Linked DNA regions of Mytilus edulis. The protein of the gene in region 1 interacts with the protein of each later gene in a pairwise test. Links are inferred from orthologs where the notes say so. Each region holds a gene or a part of one and is shown in the gene's direction. Other genes may lie near its edges.

Region 1 (7,928 bases):
ACAATGATTTTTGGTATGTTATGTTGATAAAGCGCAAATTCATAATCTTCAAGATCTTTCAAAGCGATTTGTGTTTAAACCGGCCGACATAGCAGCCAATAATGTGGTGGCGATGTGCCGTAAATAATACACAGACATTGTTCTATTAAGAGTGAAATTCCAAATTCATCTACATTTAAGTCCGTGCGCTCCACCGACAGTTATACAGAAAACAAACATGTCGTAACCACATCACAGCTATAGACTTCTTTCGAACATTTGAAGGTCCCTTCTATGTATTGGTTACCTTAACTACACAGACAAAACAAACCCGTCAAATATCGGTTCATCTCGGCCTCTTGTAAGTGTTCTACAACTAATCTGTCAGTGCTTTTAACTATAGTTCATTAACTACTATCAAAGAACTTATCATAAACTTTTGTAATAAAATATATGAACATAGTAGAATTAACTATTTCGAAGTGTAAAAAGTCTTTGGATGATTTCGATAGATTACGTGCTTTTGGTGGTCCTTTTGATTCTGTTGACAGTTTTACCTTTTCAACTCATTACACTACACTTTCAAACAATTTTAACAAACAAAAGTGTTCCTATTTAATTAAATGGTAGTTTGGTAAATCTGAATGCAAATATATTGACTGCAACTTATTAAAAGCCTTATTCTCTAATGAGAAAGGTAAATATGCTAGTTTACTTATTGGAGATGTGATGAGATGATCGAAGCTGTTAATTTTCTCCTTGATACTATTTTTTTACGTTTAGGCAAAACAGTTTGTCGACAGGTTGTATGTATTCCTATGGGCAACAGTTGCACCCCTTTAATAGCAGACTATTTTTTTGTATCATACGTGAAGGTATTTCACATCCAATCTCTTATGGTAATACTCTTTACAAAGCACAAAACTGTCGGCATTCACCCCAAAAGCTTACAAAACCTTTCAACAGACTTATTACGAAGGGATATAGTTACGATACTGTTGTAAGGACATTGAAGATGGCGTATTTTGGTATTAATATTGATTCACTCATAGAGTCTTTGCATCGGATATAAACATATGTATTCGTAAACCAGTTGTTGGCATGCTACGGGTTATTTTCTTCTCATATATTTTATGATGGTATGATACTAACCCCTATCGGGGGAGATTGTGCTTGGTTTTCTTATGATGAAAACATAATCTTTTAATCAGGTTAACTGAGGTCTAGAGCTAGCATGTCAGTAACTGCTAGTAGTCCTTTGTTAATCTATGTATTATTGTCATTTTGCCTAGTTTCTTTTGTTACCTATTCTGACATCGGACTCGGATTTCTTTTAAACCGAGTTTTGCTGTGCATATTGCTGTGTGTTTTTTGTTTTTCTACAGTGGCTAGAGGTATAGGGGAGGATTGAGATCTTCCATGACTTTTTGTTTATCTAGATGTTTTGGAGTTTAGTACATGGCGTCCATTATCACTGAAATAGTATACATTTTCATTTAGGGGCCAGCTGAAGCCCACCTTCGGTTGGGGAATTTTCTCGATGTGCTGAACAGAGGCAGATTTAGGGGGGGGGCAGGGGGCCCGGGCCCCCTCTTTTTTGGAAAAAAATTTGGTTGCTTATATAGGGAATCACTGAAGCGTGACTGGAGCGGGCCCCCTCTTAGGTCAGTCAGTGGGCCCCCACTTATGAAAATTTCTGGATCCGCCACTGCTGAAAACCCATTGGTGACCTTCATTTTTTTGGCTCTTTTGTCGTGTTGTTGTCTTTTAGGCACATCCCTCGTTTCAAATCTCGATTTTATCTTAACCTATGGTTATGAAATCAAACAGAACCAGACAAATCCCAGTGCACGAATTCGCTATTCATATCTCTTCTTATGTTCCTATCAGATGGCCATCGGTAGTTTTCAGATATCACATCGATTAGATGGCGTCTTGACTAAAATGTACACCAAAATGTTAATACATATTAACGAGCCCATGCATTATAAAATGTTTATTTTAGACTCTTTTTTCAAATTTACATTTACGTTATAGAATGTTGTTTATCAAATACGATAATTAGTCAGATCGGTGAACATATATTTGACCTTTAACCAATTCGTGGAGGTGACCGTAATCATTTGAAGTGATTTGAGTCATTCTTTCTCATAACCATATTAGTTGATTTTCAGGGCTAAAACAGATTGTTAATTATCCCTGAGACTACTATAACATATGTGTTATAGTAGTCTCAGATTATCCTTATATTATTCGTCATTCTGCAACAGTTATACGGACTTTTCTAACGCCTTCACATTTTGAGCTTATTTTAGTATAAGAGTCTACCATTCTGAGTTACAGATCGAGTTTACGTTTGGTTCTAGCTGATTTTAGGACATTGAAAATGTCATACAAATAACAGTTACACTGAATTTCCAATCCTCAAATGACTTTTTTGCGAGCGGGGCAATTCGTGTCGTTCCGACCCATACAGTTTAATGATTACAAGCAGAGCAGCGATATAAAATGAGGAGATGATGTATGATTGCCAGTGAGACAGCTTTCCACTAGAGACCAAATGACGTAGACGTAGAAGTTTAAAACATCTATAGGTCATCATACGGCCTTCAACAACAAAACAAAACCCATACCCCATAGTAAACTTTAAAAGGTCCTGAAATGACATAAAGCAATACAACTAAACAAATAACGAACTGATTTATTTACAAAACAATAAACGAAAGACAAATATGATATACAGCAACAAAGTAAAACCACTGAATTACAGGCTCCTCACTTGGGACAGGCAAAATAATAGTGACCAGGGACGTGAATTACCGACCCTTAAAGGAGAGGCAGTTGAGTATCAAAAGTTTTGGACCAATTTTATGCAGAAAAAAACTGAAAACTTCTAACACAAGCACAAAATAATGGTGACCGGATGCGGACATTTCCTCTTTTCGTGTTTTCACGTTTTCTCCTTTTAATTTGCAAACGTGAAATCGGAAAAAGAGAAATCGAAAAAGCGAGAAAGCGAAAACGCGAAATCGAGAAACAAAAGAATGCACTCCTATGGGTACCAATTGCGCTTCTTTAACAGCAATTTTTTTCCGTTACTGTAATGATCGAATCACAGTTAAAACCCAAAATTCAGTAAAGAACCACCAAAATTCAATTTATCTTCAAAATCAACAGTACTTAAAATATAAACAGCAATACATGTCGATCCTTTCCTAGATTTAGGTATATTAGTTCTACTCTTGGAACTCCTCAGCCGTAAATTACACAGAGGCATGAAGGCAGTTGCCTCCTGTTGCAGGTTCACACAAAAAAATACAGAAAAGAAAAATCATCGGGTTAAAATCATGCATTATTTTAATAGCACTAGTTACTATCTTAACCAACAAGGTGATTCAAAGCAATCAAACACACGCAGTTCTACCCAAATAGAAAACAAATACTGCTGACAAAGAATGACCGTATACAGATTTAATTATTGAAGCTTATTACACAGATTTTGATACAGATTCCAAAAAGGAGGGCACTTCAGTTGTAGAAAGTTTCCAATGTTGAACAATAGACAGATGAAGACGTATTCGCCCGTTTGCCAAAGAAGTTTCAAGACTTAAAATGATATATCATGTATATGTTACATAGAGAATAATACATGATGGCAAAATCCGTATCATATGTCGTATCATCCCGAGACATCACTATCAGCCCAAGGGCCTTTAGGCCCGAGGGATGATATTGGTCGAGGGTGATACGGCATGTGATACGGATTTTGCCATGTATTATACGCTTTATCATATATTTCAACAGAAGAGTATTATATTATATGAACTGTTTTCTGATCCATAGCACTGGGTTAATACCTTCAGTTCTACTTTTGTCTCGTTTCAAAGGCCTTAAAAGAACTGCTCAATTACTTATCCGAAGCACCTGGGTTACCTTACAATTTGCGTGCTGTTGTTTAAAAAAAATTTGTTTATTATTGTATTAATTTGTGTGTTTTGTATTTTCCATAGTTGCATTTAGTGTGCCAAAAAATATGAAAACTTGACGTTCGTGACGTCACATACAATATGAAAACTCGACGTTACAGACTTTATGTAAAAAAAAAAAAAAAAAAAAAGTAGGGGTGTGATAAAGGGTATGCGATAAAGGGTGTGCATCAAAGTTGCGCGATATGGATTACACAGCAGGCTATTTATCACATATGCAAAACTACTGTATTTACTACTAAACATATGATAAACTGATATATATATTGATTAAAATATTAAATATTTTGAAAGATATTGGCAAACTGATGTCTATAGTCATATGGTACAATATCAAGTTACTAGACTTGTAAACTGTGTGACCTGGTAGGCTTCAACAATAGTAAAACCACACGCCAGTATTATTTGAATGATGTGTTTGTCTCGCACATTGGTTTGGAAGGACAGTATATTATATACTGTACGCGTAAAGTAACATGGGACACTAACTTTTTTGTTGCAAATTAGAATGGGACACACTTTCTTCACGTGTATAACCATGGTACTTTATTTTTTAATATTTCATTTCAGTTTTTGCAGTTGTTCCATGCCCGATATTTTTTACTAGTCCATATGCTAAGGATTTGACAGTCAGCATTTTTTAATTTGAATGAATTACATATACTTCTATACAAATCATGGAAGGCTTCCACAGGATCAAACTAAGTATAAACAAAGTAATGGGTAAATAGTGCGTTCAGTATTTAAATATGCGTTTAAAGATATTGCAAGTTCATCTTTTTTAACTCATTTAGGCTTGATTCCGTTAAGCACGTTTGTTTATTTACTTTCTCAGTTTGACAGGTGCGCGCATAAAAACAATAACTTTTAGCACGTGTCTTGAATCATCCAATCGAAAAAGCCTTAAATTTGCGAATCTGCGTCAGAATGAATGCGCATTAAAACATTATTGACAACAAAAATGCCGTCTGAAAGCCCGGTGGTTGCTGCTCAAACTGAGAAACCACAGCATTATTTGTGAGTAAATGATTCATATCTCAATACTGACAGCTAGTGTGTCTTTCTGTTTATCTGTAAATGGTTAAAATGTCTTCGATATATTGCAGGTATTTGAAGGAATTTCGAACACAGCAATGTCCTCTTTTTCTGCAACACAAATGCACTCAACACCGACCCTTTACTTGTTTCCATTGGCATTTTCTAAATCAACGAAGACGAAGACCTGTTCGAAAACGCGATGGAACGTTCAATTACAGTCCTGATGTCTACTGTACAAAATATGACGAGACAAATGGAGCCTGTCCAGATGGTGACGAGTAAGTAAATATAGAGAACTGTCAAATATCGAAATGTTTAAATTTTGGTGGGAAACCCAGGGGGAAATTCTCAACCTGCTTTTACTTTCTTAAGTTAAGAATCAAAACATGACAGCTGTATAAGTTGATCCATTCTTCGAAACCGGTAAATTTTATAGCAAGTGCACGAAATTGCAAACCGCTTATTCAGCATTAAAATGTTTTAATTATGGCATAACATGTTGTAAACAAATATGGCGGACGTCTATTTACATCTCCGTCATTGTTTGTAAACTAACCCATAATCTATTGAATGAACAATTAATTGACTTTAGTAGGGTATGGTATTAGTCTGACCTTTTAAGAATGTTATTAATGCAAAATTTGTGTATGAGATTCCCCTTTAAATTGAATGAACTTTAGTGAGAATTAGAATATCAGATTGCATCCTTTGTTAAAATAGCAGATCTTTATTTTTAATGAATGAAAAGTTTCAGATTGATTTTGCAAGAGCTGAATTTGTATTTACAAATATATATGATTCAAGAAATAAGTTGTCATGATTAAAAGAATGTGATTGACTTAGTTTTGATATAACACAATAAATTACTGAATCAGCTGGTTACAAAAGACATGCGTAGATGTTATTTGGAAGAATTTTTCTTGGCCTTGACCCAGATTTTATTTATAGAAAGTGTTTACAAGTTCAGAATCAATATAAAGGAAATGGTGATCATTGTAATCAGGTCTTTCTGTTGATGAGGATTATGTTTAATTAGTGTAAACTAAAAAAGAATGCATTTGGAAGAGGGAATATAATCGTGAGATTTTTGCTTGCAAATTGCCTACAGGGACATTATGACAGATAGGTAATTATCAATAACTGATCTTAAATTACACATGCTTCTTTTGCATAGTTCTTTGCAATATTTTAAAAGGTTAGTCATATGTGTGCATTATATATTTTGGTTGCATTTAATTTATGTTTATACATATTTATACTCAGTCATACAGAGCATGCACAACTGTCTATTTGGGCAATGTGCCTGTAGAATAGAAACTTTTGTCTAGTTGAAATTTGGTTAACTTCAAACACGACTATTAATTAATTTATTTTAATTAATATATGTTTATATTATATTTTACAGTTGCCCATACTTACACAGAACTGCAGGAGATACAGAAAGACGTTATCATCTTCGGTATTACAAGACTGGTACATGTGTTTATGAGACAGATAGCAAAGGAAATTGTGTTAAGAATGGCCCTCATTGTGCCTTTGCACATGGTGCCCATGATTTGAGGCCACCCATTTATGATGTTCGAGAATTACAAGCTATTGATACCATAAATATTAGTTGTGATAAGAGTTCCAATGCTAGTTCTATATCAGGAACACCAAGTAGTTTAGAAAAGGATAAAATTTTAGCTGAAGATCCTAGATGGAATGGTAAGTTATAATGAAACAATTTTTGTTGCCTGCCATGCATGAAAATGGCACATGGGTTTTACCATACACCAACTGTGAAGCTGTAAACTGTTTATTAAAAGCTTTATATTTCAGGAGGTTGAACTGGATGTTTCATACCTTATGTGCACCTTTTGATTCAAAGTTTCTGTCTGCAATATGTCCATTGTCCTTGGCTCCAATTTCACATTTTAATGCATGAAGTTTTACCCTTGTCTAGTGATCTGTAAATAAGTACAAAATTTGGGTAAAGTCACTTTCACGGTTCTTGAGTTATATCCCTATATAACATTATATGCAGCATAGGGGGCATCATTTGTGTTCAATGAACACATTTTCCCATTTATTTTGTAAGTAAAAGGTTGCTTATCAATGCTTATTAAGAGAAATTATATAACTAGATTTAGAATATACATGTAGGTTCCTTGCAAGGTTGACATGTCTATCATGAAAAGGTTGACCTAACCTCAACCTTATTCCATGGATCACTCAGTGATCAAGGCTAAAAGTAAAGTGGACAAGTCCATATCTCAGATACATGTACAAGAATCTATATGTCAACTATATTAATTTGGTGACCAGAAAATTTGTAATGTGTACATGTATGTTCATGTCCGACTGACAGGTTTCATCCGACTTTACCTCAATTCGTGGTACATTGGACAATATTCAGAAAAGGATAAATTTTGTTTATAATCCTGATTTTAATTAGTAACATAAATGTGCATTCAATCATTATGTCATCAAGTTTATGCAGTAAGAGCATGTTCACTTCAACCTCACTGTTTGTTAAATCTAATGTAAGTGCATGTAGAACTGCATTCATGCATGCAGAGAGGAATTATCCTTGTCTAGCATATCATAACCTATAAAAAATTTAATCAGCCTTAAGCCACTAAGTAAAGAATATCTTTTTATGGAATACAAAACAATGACAGATTAAAGAAGGAAGATTAATTTGGATTTCTTAAAATGCAAAATTTTTATTCCATTCATAACTTGTACATAGTTAGTGTAAGTACTTGTACTGCTTTTTATGTAGCTACAGGTGAATACAAACTGTGTTTTCATGCAATTTGAATGATCTGAGCTGGGTTGACATAAATATTGTTTCAACATTAACTGCATTATCAATTCAGAATTTCAGATCAGTCAGGCCTTAGTTGTTAAGTCGGTCCATTGTGCTAAACTAGCTCTTGA
Region 2 (7,442 bases), on another chromosome or scaffold:
ATCAACAAATTTTGTTAAAAAATGCACACAATATTTGCCACTGGGTATTAAGCATTTAACGTTTTAAAAAACCCGCTATGGTAAATGTATGAGGCTTTCAGGCTTACTTAATGTACATGTCGGGAAATTGGGAATTGGTTAAATAGTTCTTTACTGTAATTCTCTGCACTATGTTATATTCCTTATATTTTTGTTTTGATATGGATGTAATTGAAAAATAAAATTATAAGTCAGTTGTGATATATACAATCACAATTCATTGCGTTTTTTTATGTTTATGTAACACTAACATCAACATCTGATATCCAGGAAAGAAAAATAAGATTTCCATATATGCTTATGAATATTTTAAACATTTTAAAATTTTATAGGTAAAAAAGTGAAAGCGAAAGTTGTTTCAACCGGTTTTCTCCTTGACACTTTTACACTGTCTGATTTCGTTTAATAGTCTATGTTATAAATAATGTGCAAAGTTGTTATCGTCTTTCGTTCACAAACATATGTATACATAAAATACATCGTTATAGGTAAATTGCACTAATAAATAATGAAGATAATTGTACAACCTTGATGTTAAATTATACATTATGCCATGTTATATTACTGACATTAGGAGGAAATTTATAGAATAAACAACATAATCATGCATAAAAAAAGACAGAAAAACGTAATGTTATTTATGTTCTCCTGTCTAATATATTAATTATGATTTTGTTATTCGACCGACTTTTCATGCATCAGCTATTTTAATAAATGTATTAATTGATGATTGATTGATGACAAAAGGTTAATCTGATTGTTCGACATGCTCAACTGAACTCGATACTTTCAGCCTCAATTACCGTTTTTACGCAAAAATAACTCGGCTACGCCTCGAAAGTGATTACTCTGATACTTTCAATTTAAGTCACATTCTTATGGTGTAGATTTCCCAGTTGGTACGATATTCAAGGGCTTGCTTTACAACTTTAAGTTTTTGCAATCACACTTGTATGATGTTAGATCATACATTATAAGGATAAATAAGTGTGGATGTGTGATACAGAGGACGAAAAATGGGAATGTGGGATGTCGAGCCTTAAAAGTGGGTACTGGATAGTGGTAGTGGGAAGTGATAAAACATAACAAAAAAACTATGATGGGATTTTGGAGAGAAGCACCCGCATTTCACCCCTCTTCTCTTTTGCTGTAACCCCAGTCCATGATCCTTCCCTCCTTTATGACATTGCAGAATACCACCGTATGCCAGATTTTTAGCTGTCATGAGCAACATCACACGACAGACTGTATACTCTAGTAGAGTAGAAGATGTTTATCCTTTCAGAGCAGAGGCGGATTTAGGGGGGGGGGCAGGGGGCCAAGGCCCCCCCTTTTTGGGAAAAAATTTGGTTGCTTAAATAGGGAATCATTGAAGCGTGACTGGAGCGGGCCCCCTCTTAGGTCAGTCAGTGGGCCCCCACTTATGAAAATTTATGGATCCGCCACTGCAGAGTACATGCGTTGTGATTTTGTTTTTCAAACTTTGTTTTTACTTAGGTAGATACCATTTGATTTGTATGGGAGAAAAAGGGGGCTGGCTAGGATAAAACAAATGTCCTGGGTGGTTTTTTAGTTGTAATCTCAATCTAATTAAGTGTTTGTCTCAGTCTAAACCATGCAATTTGAAATTTGACCTTTTGGTGACCTTGCTGCACTTAAAAGGAAATTTGAGAGGTCAACATAAGTATAATCATTAGTTTTATATTGGTTCATATTTATGATAAAGCCATACTAAAATGCCTACAAAATATTCATTAAAGGTATTTTTAATGTCTATTTTATCAAAAATTGCATGTTTTTAACCTTTAATCTTGATAGAAATTCTATTTTTAGAAACAGCCCTTTATAAGGTAAATCCTTGAAAATTTTTGGATTTTTTTTTTTTCTAAAATTATTATATGATAAGACCTTCCTTGTAACAGAATGTTAAGATGATCTTGTAACCTTGCTTCTGGATCACTTTGCATGGATTTATCTGAGACAGGCACTTAAAATATTGATCTCTGATTACGTTATACTACATATGTGTTTTACGTTATACTACTTATGACTTATATGTAGTATAACGTAATCAGAGATCAATATTTTAATTAGATTGTTGTAATCTCTGTCCTGCCTTTTCATTTTTCACTCTACCCAGTCCTGCCTTTTGTTATTAGTTCATCCTGACTTCTACATAAAAATGACATCCTGCCTTTTTTTTTGGCAAAGTGCCTCATCCTGCCTGGTTTTTTTACTCGATCAAAACTCCTTTTCAAATTTCTTACTAGCGCACCCGTATCTGCAGGTCCTCTTCCAAAACAGGAATAAAGGAATATAAAATATATTTTAACACAGCTGTCTTTTATTCTAATGTTTTTAAGAATGGACTTTTCTTGTTTTAATGGGTTTATATTATTTGAACCTAAGTAACAATCTCAATACCTGATTCTCTTTATGTACTTTGATACCAAAATAAACGATCTTTATTACAAAAATAAATAATTAACCGTCTGAAAAGATCAATGTAAAAAACAAATCCAATATTGTTAATAATGTCGGAAATATCTATGTCTTCGGTCAGTTATGTGACTGGGTCACGCTATACTTTTAATCAGAATCAAGGCACAGGAAATTTCATTTATTGGGAATTCATAAAACACATCTTATTTTATCTTTATTCTGCTTGAGTTATATATGGGTTCAATTAATGAAGTAAGCGCTAAGAGTCTTGTATCCCGTAACGACGCCATCAAGTTTAACATTTCTTTTCATTTTGAATAAAAAGAAATCAATACACAGGGATAATTTTAGAACAGACCATTTACCATGTTTAGTCAACATAGAAAATACATTTATTCCGTTGTTTCATTGATTAGACTATTTCGAATGACTCATTTATACCGATTTTTATGTATTGTAAACAAGTTTAGAACGGAAATGTTTAACTGTTTACCGCAAAAAAAGACAATGCCTTTTTGTATTTGTTTTGTCTTTAAATGATCTAGGGTTGACAGTAGTTATTCGGTTCTTTTTCGATGTCAAGGCCGCATTCAATTTCAATAAGAAAATAAAGAAATCAAAATAAAGAAACAACCAGACTTTGTTACACTAACTTTCTCTCGAGATGTTTTGATCACTTTAGTAAGTAGGTGTAATGAGGGGACGTTTATTTATTATGGTAATTAACTCCCTCTTAACCTTAATACAGCGCGGATCCAGAGGGGGGGGGGGGGTTCCGGGGGTTGGACACCCCCCTTTTTTTGGACGATCAATGCATTTGAATGGGGAGGTGTAGTTGGAACCCCCCCCCCTTTTGTCCTGGGTTAGGACCCCCCCCCTTTTTAAAATGGCAGGATCCGCCGCTGTAATGGGGGCAATATTGACGAATTCCACTCGGCCCTCAGCGCTAGTATGTTTTTAATTTTGGTTGTTTTTATCGTTTGGATTTTTTTTGGGGGGAGGGGGGGTTACGATTTTCATTTAATGCTTAAAAATGGTGCATTTTCCAATCAAGGAGGGTGAACGCATAATATATGATATACCCCTTTTTGTATGTGCTACAGTAGAATTCGATTGACTCGTATCATATTCGACTTAATACCATATAGCGCCTCGATCCGTGAATATTTTACCGACGATTATTCTCTATAATTTGACACCTCCCACCTCTAACAAATTGTCTTTTAATTTCAGAGTTCCTGGGTGACATCAATCTCGGTGTTACATAATAATTTTTAATCGATTTTCAATAACAGCTGCATGCGTCTGCACTTTAAATATTCATGATGTTTCGTGTGTTTTGTTTAGATGGCATAATTAAGAATTTTGGCAAAATATCAGTTGTTATATTTCGCCCGAGTTTGCACTTGTAAATCTCAGTATGCATTTTTGTGTTTTGATATTGTTTATCAGTCACTCTATACAATTGTTGTGTCCTTTTTAATGTAGTTGAGTCATTCAGATATGATTTGCAGTGTGTAAAATATTTTTTGTTAAGCAAAAGCATATAGCTTTTTACTATTTTATACGCATATATGATCATAGTATCGTAAAAAAAATGTCGAGAAAATATGCGTTTTAATAAAGTACGTTTATCATCAGTTATTTTAAAATAAAATAGGTCTCTCCTTATTCACTAGTTTGATGTTTATCAATAAAATATAAAGAAGCCTTTGTTAGTAGTGCGTAACCCCAGCAAGCTGTTTACAAATAAATTTTTTTTTAAAGTTACATGCCTCCCTGCACAATCGATTTACTTTCTATTGTATGTTTTTCCCCAATTGCATTTATTTCTCAAAGCAAGGCCTAACCCAGATTCATTCTAAATTAAAATTATACACTTTACGTTACTATTGATAGAAAAGATGTTTAAATATAAAATTGTTATTGAAAAATACCGACTAAGATTACAAACGTCCTCGACCTATTTATGACAAACGCGTAGAAATAAAAATACACCATTAATGCTTGTACTTCTAACAAAATAATCAATCTTGCGTCTAAGGTCATAGATTATTCATTCAACCAATCATAATTCCTGACCGCATTTCTAACCAATCATAACTATTGTTCTAAACGAAAGTAGGCAGTTCTACGTTATTGTCAACAATAATAAACTGGATGTAAAAGCCGGCATTACTTTTAGCACGTTTAAAACTAACCGGTAAATACAGATTATACTGTGACAATATTTAGTGATTGAACATTTGAATTGTGTGGATTTATAGAAACATGCCGCACCGGAAGCACCAAAAGGTGCAACTGCACAACGTTGTTAAAAAAGATGTGGAAAATAACAATGTACAAGCCGCCGCAGAAACGAGGGCGCCTGTTGTTGAAGTAAATGACAACAGAGCTGGTCCCAAACTTGTCAAGTGTTGTGTGCCTCTAACATGCACTTCACCCGAGGATTTGATTAATCCAAAGGAGCCTGAAAAGTCTGTGAAAGTGTTCTGCAATAATGAAGCATGCGACTTCAGTAAGTGGATGCACAAGGATTGTTTCGAGGAATGGGAGGAGACGGTTTTGTCCTATCTACGCTCGTGTGGACGCGCTAGAAGCTGGAGCGAAAAACAACGCTTGCAAAATTTGTGGACAAAGAAAGGCTACGACCTAGCTTTCAAGGCTTGTGATTGCAAATGTGGCAGGGGACATATACGGAAGGATCTGGATTATTTCCCAAAACCACAAGTTGCTGTTGTCGACAACAAAAACAAAAAGAAACCGAAGAAGAAGAACGATAAACCGGCTCCTGTGGTGAGTAACGGGAAAGGGGGACATGCTTCTACCTCCATACCCCATAACAACAACCACATTCACAGTGCACCTATCAACACAACAAATGTAAACAACAACAATAACAACACGTCTTACAACAATCATGTCAGCAACACGAACCATATTTTTTCTACACAGCGCTCGCGCACTGACAGCGTCAGTAGCAGTGGAAGTCTACCGCGTTCTTCTGGTTCTATTGGATCCTCGTCATCACCGACGCCGTCATCCCCTATTGTTAATGGAAACCTGAACCAACCGGCTTTCCCAAAAAGCCCGAAAACCGTAGATGTCCACTCGTTTAACGCAAACACTTCCTTTCGGCGCCGCCAAGATCTGTCTGCCTTCACCTTTCTACCAAGGCATAAACAGAATCCATACCATATCAAGATGGACGACGATGGTACGGATGATACCAGGAACTTTATACTTTCTCACTTGACATCGTACAAGGTTTGCTCGCTGAGCTGTGTTATATGTAAGAGCGGCTTACCCGTTTTTGATAGGTACCCTATGATTGACGGAACATTCTTCTTGTCACCTCAGGCTTACGGCGATGGAGTAGTACAAGTCATCTCCGATGGTCGTCTGCAGTTTATCAACGCCGTCTGCGTACAGTGCCTTGAAAAGGGATCAGATATTCGGTGTGCATCATGCAAATGCCCATGGGACGGGAGCGCACTTCAACTTGGAACTATGTATACTTACGATATATTTGCTGCTACGCCATGCTGTCAGAAGCGGCTAACATGCAAGCAGTGTCGTCGAGCAGTTGTAGACGTCAACACTGGTCTGACATTTTATAGTCAATACAGTCGGATGATTGCGTGTCCTTACTGCAAGGCGTACGACTTTCATTTTATACGACCGCTCAATGAAGCCTTCAATGTTAGAGCAAAACAGAGTATATGGAACTAAACTGCTTAGAACTTTTATTCTGTTAACAATACTCCGCGCGTATATATAAATATATTTGCCTTTTACTTGTTTTATATATAACTTTAGCAATTTACCGTTTTACTTGAACTTTTTACACTGTTGTGTCATAATTTGTTTCGCAGATGGATCGACAAGTCTCGTTGAATGGATGGGATTGTTCCTCATATATCTGGAAGAACTAGTTTATGGACCATATTGACTATGTTACGCTACATTGTGGATTTTTGGTGCAGACATGTTTTTTTTACCAGAGACGTTATCATATACGACATGTGGTAATTTTTGTGTAAACTTCATTAGAGATTTAATCTCGTGTCCTCGCTGAGTTTGTATCCATCATTTGTTTATGAACTATTCTTAGTTTTAAGAAGCAGAACTAAATAAAATTCCAATTTGGTTTATAAACTTATAGGAAATATTTCAAATAACTCTAGACGTTTAATTTGGGTGACATTTTAAATTTAAGAACAAAACGTTTTGCGTGAAACCGGATTATTTTAATGAATTTAAAGACATTCAATATGCAAAGACATGTTACGTGTAGAATGTGCTTATGACGTTTTCTGCTTCATTTGAGACTAAAGAAATGGCATTTCTTACATATGTTTATTTTTGGAATAAATATTTAATTATTTATTGGAATTGATATGTAGCTTGTGGTTATTTCACGCTCTGTGGATTTTATATCTGGTTCAGTATTTCTGAATGAGCATATTGTACAGGATAACCGACTTTCGAAAAAAGTTGTATATCTTTTTTATTTTTTTTAAATTGTCACTACATGTATGTATCCCAATATCATGCTTTATGATTTCCTTGGAGCGTGGTACAATGTGGTATTGTATTTTTTCTTTAAAAATCAACAAAGGTTTTAATATACTAGTATCAGAGCAGGCTAAAACAGATCTAGAGCACTAATTTGTAAAGGTTTTTGTACGTTTCCACTCTCGTTCTATCCGTCTACAGGAACATAAACAGACACACAAACACACACACACGTATTGTGAAGGAAAATTGAAATGTAACTACATTCACCAGAGGTCGGATTGTAGGGGAGGCCCCTTTTATGGAGCTTCATATATGATAAATGCAGACTTCTTACAAGACTCACTACAAAATTGGATTGGTAGACTTTTCCTCTTTTTTCAAAATACTTGATCCGCACCTGATCGCAGAGCATTTCTTGAATGTTGGAAGTTTGGTAGAAA

What was found. The genes of interacting proteins can lie anywhere in the genome.
Region 2: the proteins of putative E3 ubiquitin-protein ligase UNKL (region 1) and headcase protein-like interact in binary tests that used the Drosophila melanogaster proteins (3 or more experiments, as listed by UniProt). The link is inferred for Mytilus edulis from reciprocal best matches to the Drosophila melanogaster genes unk and heca.

Annotation. Positions count from the first base shown.
Region 1 is NC_092352.1:14,752,331-14,760,258, reverse strand, and holds the start of putative E3 ubiquitin-protein ligase UNKL, read left to right. Parts: upstream 1-4,863; 5' UTR 4,864-4,896; coding exon 4,897-4,982; intron 4,983-5,071; coding exon 5,072-5,281; intron 5,282-5,494; exon of another isoform or gene 5,495-6,118; coding exon of another isoform or gene 6,119-6,129; intron 6,130-6,408; coding exon 6,409-6,710; intron 6,711-7,928. UniProt on the Drosophila melanogaster protein: Essential for late larval/early pupal development.
Region 2 is NC_092353.1:78,627,249-78,634,690, forward strand, and holds headcase protein-like, read left to right. Parts: upstream 1-4,545; 5' UTR 4,546-4,752; coding exon 4,753-6,213; 3' UTR 6,214-6,868; downstream 6,869-7,442. UniProt on the Drosophila melanogaster protein: Required for imaginal cell differentiation, may be involved in hormonal responsiveness during metamorphosis. Involved in an inhibitory signaling mechanism to determine the number of cells that will form unicellular sprouts in the trachea.